2 linked regions of the Ovis aries genome follow. The protein of the gene in region 1 purifies or fractionates together with the protein of each later gene. This does not show direct contact. Links are inferred from orthologs where the notes say so. Each region holds a gene or a part of one and is shown on either strand. Other genes may lie near its edges.

Evidence for each region. Proteins that work in one complex are often made in the same cells at the same time.
Region 2: the proteins of DYRK1A (region 1) and FAM117B purify together in Homo sapiens (affinity purification with mass spectrometry; 8 studies listed by BioGRID and IntAct, counting the BioPlex papers as one, with this or other methods). This does not show direct contact. The link is inferred for Ovis aries from reciprocal best matches to the Homo sapiens genes DYRK1A and FAM117B.

The regions. Positions count from the first base shown.
Region 1 is NC_056054.1:270,278,945-270,282,444, reverse strand, and holds part of DYRK1A (dual specificity tyrosine-phosphorylation-regulated kinase 1A), read right to left. Parts: intron 2,897-3,500; exon of another isoform or gene 2,830-2,896; coding exon 2,710-2,829; intron 559-2,709; coding exon 370-558; intron 1-369. UniProt on the Homo sapiens protein: Dual-specificity kinase which possesses both serine/threonine and tyrosine kinase activities. Exhibits a substrate preference for proline at position P+1 and arginine at position P-3.
Region 2 is NC_056055.1:204,850,230-204,854,305, forward strand, and holds the start of FAM117B (protein FAM117B), read left to right. Parts: upstream 1-1,276; 5' UTR 1,277-1,492; coding exon 1,493-2,093; intron 2,094-4,076.

The DNA.
Region 1 (3,500 bases):
CCTTTTGAGGAGGATGATTAGGCAGGAAGGCAATCATCTCCAGCATACATCAGGAAGAACCATCCAGAGACTAAAAGCCCAATGAAAGAGGCCGTACTATCTGTTAGTGATTCAAATCACTTAGTAAAATAACTACTTGGTAGCTATAGTAACTCTGTGAAACAAACAAAAAGTCTAATAGAGTTTTTATAGCTGATGCAGCTGATAATAGTTTTACTAACTTTAGAGAACTATAATAACCCAAATACTTACATATCCATTCTTTATATCTACTTACAACTATTAGAAGTGTACTACTGAGAAAAGGCTATAGTAACATGACTCACGGAGAAGTTCTCATTTATAAAATTCAGCAACTTGTTAGATTACCTGTCCAAAGGAACCTTTGCCTATTAAGGAGTCAATTTCGTAACGATCCATCCACTTTTCTCCGTTTTTTACAATATAATCATAGTTATCATCATCATAACCATCGTTGTAAACCTTCCGCTCCTTCTTATGACTAGAATCGTCTCCCTGGCCCTGTTGGTGTCTCCGCTTCTTTTTTGCATAGTAAACCTAAAATGAGAGAATCTAGTGTTAACTGTGTAATTAAAAATCATGAGGCATGGAGTGGCACCATATATATACATACATATCAAGAGTACGTATGAGACAAACCTGCCAACAGTAAGAAACTGATGAACTTTTATTCTATGGAACAAAAAAAAACAAATTTCTATAGTTGCTATTTGAATTACAGATTAACTCTAATATATATCAAATGAAAAACACCTACAGAAAAATTCACTTTAGAATTATACTGTTCATACGTTTTATAAATAGGAAATATTAAGTGAGTAGGCCAGTCTCCCATCAAGAAAAGCAACAGGACCTGATTTACATTTATTTTAAAAACTAAGGTATAATTTACATACAGTGAGCTGGTATAGACCCTAGGAGTGTATAATATAAGGAACTTTGGGAAAACGTATATGCTGATATAAACAACAAATGCTAACCACGCCCCCTTCTAGTCAATCCCAATTTTATATTTGACCCTAAAGCAAAAGATTTCAGAAATGAAAGGTGAAATGTGTATGAACTGATATTTTACTAATATGGGAAGGGCCTCTGAGACAGGCTCGGCTTTAAGCTTATGACAACAAAGTAATGAAAACCAGTCAGGCCCCCTCCCCCCACACTCAAGGGCACTGAAGCCGTGGTTGATCACAGACTGGGTTATTTTCCTTGTATCTGTTTTTCTTATAAAACAGTTTCTAAGACTAGTAAAAAATAACAGGTGGACTAGGCAATAGTTCTGCTGCTGCTGCTGCTGCTGCTAAGTCACTTCAGTCGTGTCCGACTCTGTGCGACCCCATAGACGGCAGCCCACCAGGTTCCCCCGTCCCTGGGATTCTCCAGGCAAGAACACTGGAGTGGGTTGCCATTTCCTTCTCCAATGCATTAAAGTGAAAAGTGAAAGGGAAGTCAGGCTCCTCTGTCCATGGGATTTTCCAGGCGGGAGTACTGGAGTGGGGTGCCATCGCCTTCTCCCAGTAGTTGGTAATTAATGAGGCAATAGTTCAAGTAATTGGTAACTAACTTTGAGGAAATGATAAATTACACTCTATAAAGCAATTATCAGAAAAACTAGTTTACAAGGTAACAGTTAAAAACAAGCTTCAACAAAGCTACTTAGCAGTATTAGTTTATCAGATTATTTTCAGATGACCAAAAACTAGTTTGAAACATCTTTTAGAACATATAAATTGTAAACAAAATCCAACTTAGAAATGTTCCTCATTGAGTTCACTTCAATTTTATCTTGCCACACTGCCACAGTAATACTGGCATTAAACAGCACCAAACTGCTAAGAAATTTATACACACATAAGAACATCTTTTTAAATGGCTCTCAAGCTGGTAGAAGATAAGTCTTTAATGCGGAAGTATGTAGGGCCCCACTGGAAGAGGAAAGAGAGCACAGGTGTGGCCACCCGTCTCTAGAAAAGCTCATTTACTAACTCACTATACAGCTAGAGTTGATGTTAGGAGCAAATACCAAGCCAAAGGGCTAAAACACCAGAAAAATAATTTCTCAAAGTGAAGAGTCACGTTGGAAGATAAGTAATTCATAGTGCTATGTTTTTTATGCTACTTAATCCCACCAAAAAGGCTTTCAGGTATCATACAGTGAAAGGATACAGATAAAAAAGAACACTCATTAAAAAGAAAATTTTAAACCACACAAATATAGATATTATCAGATAAACTAGGCCAAACGCCTGTTAACTGAGCATTAAACACATATCAGAGCTTCCTGACATCTCTGGCAAAAGCAGAAACAGATACATAAAAAATGAAGCAAAATTCTGTAACACTTTCATACTTTTACATTATCACTATTCCCTCCCTTTCCTCTGAAGTTTTGGAGAAGGGGTATTATAGAAATTGTAACTTAGCATGTATTAAATATAACTTTGAAAAAGAAGGGAAGTTACTCACAATTATCTTTTTACAATTCTTGTTTATATAGCATCTTTCTTTTACACAATTATGACACTTTTATCTACAAACCGCCAACCTACCAGTCTTCATAATAGTCATCGATATGACAATCCTTGGGAATTAAAGTAATTTTAATATGTTTAAACACACTACAAAATAACTTGTTTCCTCCACTCTATGGCGAGATAGACACCGTAATAACAAATCAACAGTTCTTACCTCATTAATATGCTTATATGTTTTGATCAAGTCAACAGAAAGTTTTCTCAGGGGAGCAGTAGCTGGATCACGGAAGGTTTGGGGCATCCGCCTCTGTAACATGACAATATCAGGCATCACCTTAAATAGACAGAGAAGACTAGCACTTTAACTATGCTGTGCTGGCATGAACTCCCTCTTCTGTAACCTGTGCATATGCATTTAAAACAAAACAGACATCCACATTAGAACATGAAACATTCACATGAAACATTCTCTCTTGGTCATCTCTTTCAACCGGAATCCAATGAAGACAACCACTGGAACAAATAAATGAAATTAGCAAACAATATACCCAGCTGCGAAGCCTTCAATTTTGTTTCCCAAATTCAACGAGAGGATTACAGACATCCCCCTGGTCCAGGAGACACGCAGAGGCTGCCCCAAAGGGCTTCTCCACTGTACAATCAGCCTAAGGAAAAATTTCTTCTGAATGGTTCCTTCAGCCTGGCCTGGTTCACAACAGGCACACAGCGCCTGCCGGGAGCACAGCTGAAATCTGCTCTCGTGCCTTCGAGCTGACCAAGGAGACCCACCCTCTGCCTTAATACATCCAACGCCCCCTCCACACTCCCTCTGCCCACACTGCACGGCACCTGCCACCACCTAATATCCTGGTATACGTTTACTGGGTTACTGGTTTTAGTTTTTTCTCCTCCTTCCCCTACTGGGAGAACGCCATATGAGGCAGATATAGCTGACCAACGCTGTATTCCCTCTGCCTACAACAGGAGCAGACATACTGTCTGAAA
Region 2 (4,076 bases), on another chromosome or scaffold:
CCACAATTGTATGAAGGAGGTGGTATTGTTTAACTGCATTTTACAGATAAAGGAAAGTGGCTGGTGACTTATCCCAGCCACAGAGTATGCTGTGGATCTGGAATATGAATCTCTTTCTTTAGGTCCTCAAAGGCTCTCCACCACAGTGTATAGGACCCAGCAGAATTTCAGGTCCAGAGCAAATCAAACTGGGCCCTCCACTCCCATATTTTTATAGGATGAAATCTGTCTAGAATATTTATCTAATAAAGTACTAAAGGGAAAACAGGTCATGGACAGGGAGTTTATAGCTTGGGAAATGAGTATGTGGGGTATGGGTTCACTTGTTTTTTTATTTTTTTTGTCTTGATGAAGAACCTTTCAGGTTATTTGAGAACTAGTGTTACTGATTTCTTGCCCATTCTACAAAGACCTGTTTTCTCCACTAGACAAAAATATGAATGGCTGTCCACTTCTGTCTCAAATAATGACTGTGAGGATAAAATAGGCCCTTTGAAAACTATGGCACTTAACAAACTTGTAAGGCAGCAATCGTCTTTCCAAGGTATCGGGGAACTCAGAAGTAGTTGATTGAAATAAATTCTTGATTACTTGAGATACAGGAGATGTAGCAATAGCATTTGGTTACTGCACTTCGTTGATACAATCTAAAACGGCATTCTAACCAGCAGTTTTAATCTTTCTAAGATTTGGCTCTCTACAGAGCTTAAAAAAGAGACAAAGTGTAAAATGCCAATAACATTCGTTAAATTTCTTTTCCTTTGAACCCTGTCAAGACGTTGATGGAATTAGGATAGAACAAAAAGATCAAGGGAAAACAAAAGCCAGAAAGAGACTCAGGAACACAGACTGTGCTAGTAAATACCGATTTAAGGAAATGAGTTGGGGGGAAAAGACTTGAGACATCCCTGGGGACCGCTCTGGTTCGGGGGCAATCCCTTTGGCAATATTCCAGAATCTGAGTCCCCAGGGCTCCCCCCAGTGGGAAGGGAAAGATGCGCGTGGCCAGGCGCGCGCGTACGCGTGTACACTCACGTGTACACTCACACGCGCGCGCGCGCACACACTACACATACACACAGCCTGTCTCCTCCGCTCCCCCTCCCCCCGGGGGGGCGGGTCTCTTTCTCTTTAAAGAGCAGACGGTCTCCGCGCAAACCCAGGTTCTCTAAGGCCCCGGGGCCCGGGACCCGAGCTCCTCGCAGCCAATGGGCGCGGTGGAGTGGCTCGAGCGCGGCTGACGCTGCACCAATGGGCGCTCGCGAGGGGCGGGGGCAGCGAAGGAGACACTATTGTTGATGAGGAGGAGCAGCGGCGGCGACGGCTGCACCACCTCGTTGCTGCCGGCCGCGGCCCGGGCGCCCCCAGCACCCCAGACTCCGGCTTCGTCACCCCGTCGCGGAGGCCTTCCCTCCAGCCTCGAGAATCCTCCCCCTGCCTTCTAACAACAAAACCACCCCACGTCTCGCCCAGTCACCGGGGAGGGGGGACCATGTCCCAGCGGGTGAGGCGCAATGGGTCCCCCACGCCGGCCGGCTCCCTCGGGGGCAGTGCGGTCGCCACGGCCGGGGGATCCGGGAGCCGCCTGCAGCCCATGAGGGCGACGGTTCCGTTCCAGCTGAAGCAGCAGCAGCAACATGGCAGCCCCACGCGGAGCAACGGCGGCGGCGGCGGCGGCAACAACAACGGCGGCTGCTGTGGTGGCGCCTCAGGCCCCTCGGGCGGCGGCGGCAGCGGCGGGGCCCCGCGCACCGCCTCGCGCAGCACTAGCCCCACGCGGGGCGGCGGGAGTGCGGCCGCGCGCACCAGCCCCACGGTGGCCACGCAGACGGGCGCGTCCGCGACGTCCACGCGAGGCACTAGCCCCACGCGCGCCGCCGCGCCCGGGGCCCGCGGAAGCCCCCCTCGGCCGCAGCCGCCGCCGCCGCTACTAGGTACCGTGTCGTCGCCCTGCTCGTCGCCCACCCACCTGTGGACTGGAGAGGTGAGCGCGGCCCCACCCCCAGCCCGCGTCCGGCACCGGAGGAGGTCCCCGGAGCACAGCCGAAGCTCCCCGGAGAGGAGGAGCCCGAGCGCCCCGGTTTGCAAAGCTGGTACGTGCTGGGGGCTGCGCGAAGAGGGAAAAGGCAGCGGCGGGAAGGGGTCCGGGGCGCGCGCCGCTACCGCGCGGGGACTGCGGCGATACCGCGGTGCCGGGGTGGCCGTGGGCGGGGCTGGGGGCGGGACCTGGGCGGTGCGGCCCCGCCTTCCCCGGGCCAGCCCCGCGTCCCCTCCGCCGCTCCCGGGCCGCCTCATTCATCCCTCGGTCCGCCTTGAGTTGGTGCTGCTCCGTGGAGGTGCGGCCGCTAACCTTGTGCCTAGGCAGATGTGTTAATGATAAACCTGGGGTTCTGGCCGCCCGCTGGCTATTGCTTACCCTCCCTTGGGAGTGAGGCTGAGTAGTTTGTCACTTTAGTGACGTGGTTAGTGTTAGTATATTACATGTTTGTTGGTAAGCATTTCTCTTTGACAAAACAGTGTCAGATTTGGGGAACTTGAGTGCACTAGCATAGCAGGTTTGGTTGGGTCCCTGAAGAGACGTGAGGCTGGGAGTGTGTTAGCATTTCCTAAGACTAAGTGGGTAGCAAGAAGTGAGAAGTAAGTTAAGCAAGATTCCTGTGGAAGGTTTATGGGCTTTGAGGGTCTGGTATATTTCTGATACACTGATTTTGTGTTTAGGATATAAAACCATTTTTTTAAAGAAAAGAACAAGACCTAAAGGTTTGTCTCCTTGTTATTTTAGAGACCTAAAAATTGTTTTTCTCTGGACCTGGGAGCTTTTTTTGGAAAGGTCCAGAATGGAGCTGTTGAATTCCTCAGGAGTCATTCATAAAGAGAAATTCAGATTGTAGAAACTGAAAGAAATAATATTTATCATCTGATTGTCTTTGTAGAACCTCCTGAAAAGAGGAATATGTGGTTTCTAGCTTGTGTTTTAATACTGCCAGTATCTACCGTTGTCTTACCCTGTTTGAGAAACTTGTTAGAATTTTTAGGCAGAATGGCTGGTAATTTCAGGAAACTTAGTACTGTACTTCCTAACCAAATAAAAATGATAATGAAATGGTTTCAAGGGTTCATTCAGAATTGGAGGGAATGGGATGAATCTTTTCTACCATTTATTTTATCAAAGATTTTAGATGGTGGATACTTTGAGGGGAGAGTATTGTCCTGAAAAATGATTGATACTGTTTTCTGACTAAAACAAGAGTACTGTTTTAAACCTTTCAAACATGCAAAATGCTTTTTTCTAAACTTTGTTGAAGAAAAAAATCCCTCCTCCTCAAATAATAGCTCTTATTTATTGAGCTCCTACTTACTCTGAGTGACTTACCTCCTGGTTCTTTCTTTAACTCTCACAGGAGATTTTGGAGAGCAAGCAGTGGAGTGGATTTTTGAACTCTGAAGAGTGGTACTCCAAAACCATGTCTTTTACATTGTATCAAGGAGGAAGCTTCATGGTGTGTGAGATAGTACTGGGGAAATATGTAGCACACCAAAAATGACATGTGCTTAGTTTCCCAAGCAACTCTTAGAGATATCTGGTGAACATAATTGATTCAGTTTGCTTTCAGCCTTCTGGAGACGGTATAATGTGGCAGGTGGAAAGAAAGGAGAGCTACTTAGGTAGGCAGTTAAGATGGAGGAAGCAGGTGGTGATCTGATGGTCTGATAACAACATCTGAATACTCTCTCAACTATTTGACCCTTAAAAAGCAGCGACCTGATGAGATCCGGGTTAAATTAAGTATTGGGAATGTGTGGAGGAAGGTGCTCTTTTCTTATCTTTCTAGAAGGGCTCTATTTTCCAGCATCTCAGACTCCTCATATGCCCACTTTTCATGTTTCCCAAAGCTTCTTTCTCTCAGATCTGTCATTTCATAGAGTATTCATGCTGTGAAATTGACTCTTTTCATTAGCCCTCTCCTCCTCCCCTCCAACAAAAACAGAAAAATAAAACCTTTTTCTTCCAATGGAGTGCTCTCACTTGGGTGTGAAAAAGGGATACTGCTTGTTACTGAGTTACATCATCTGAG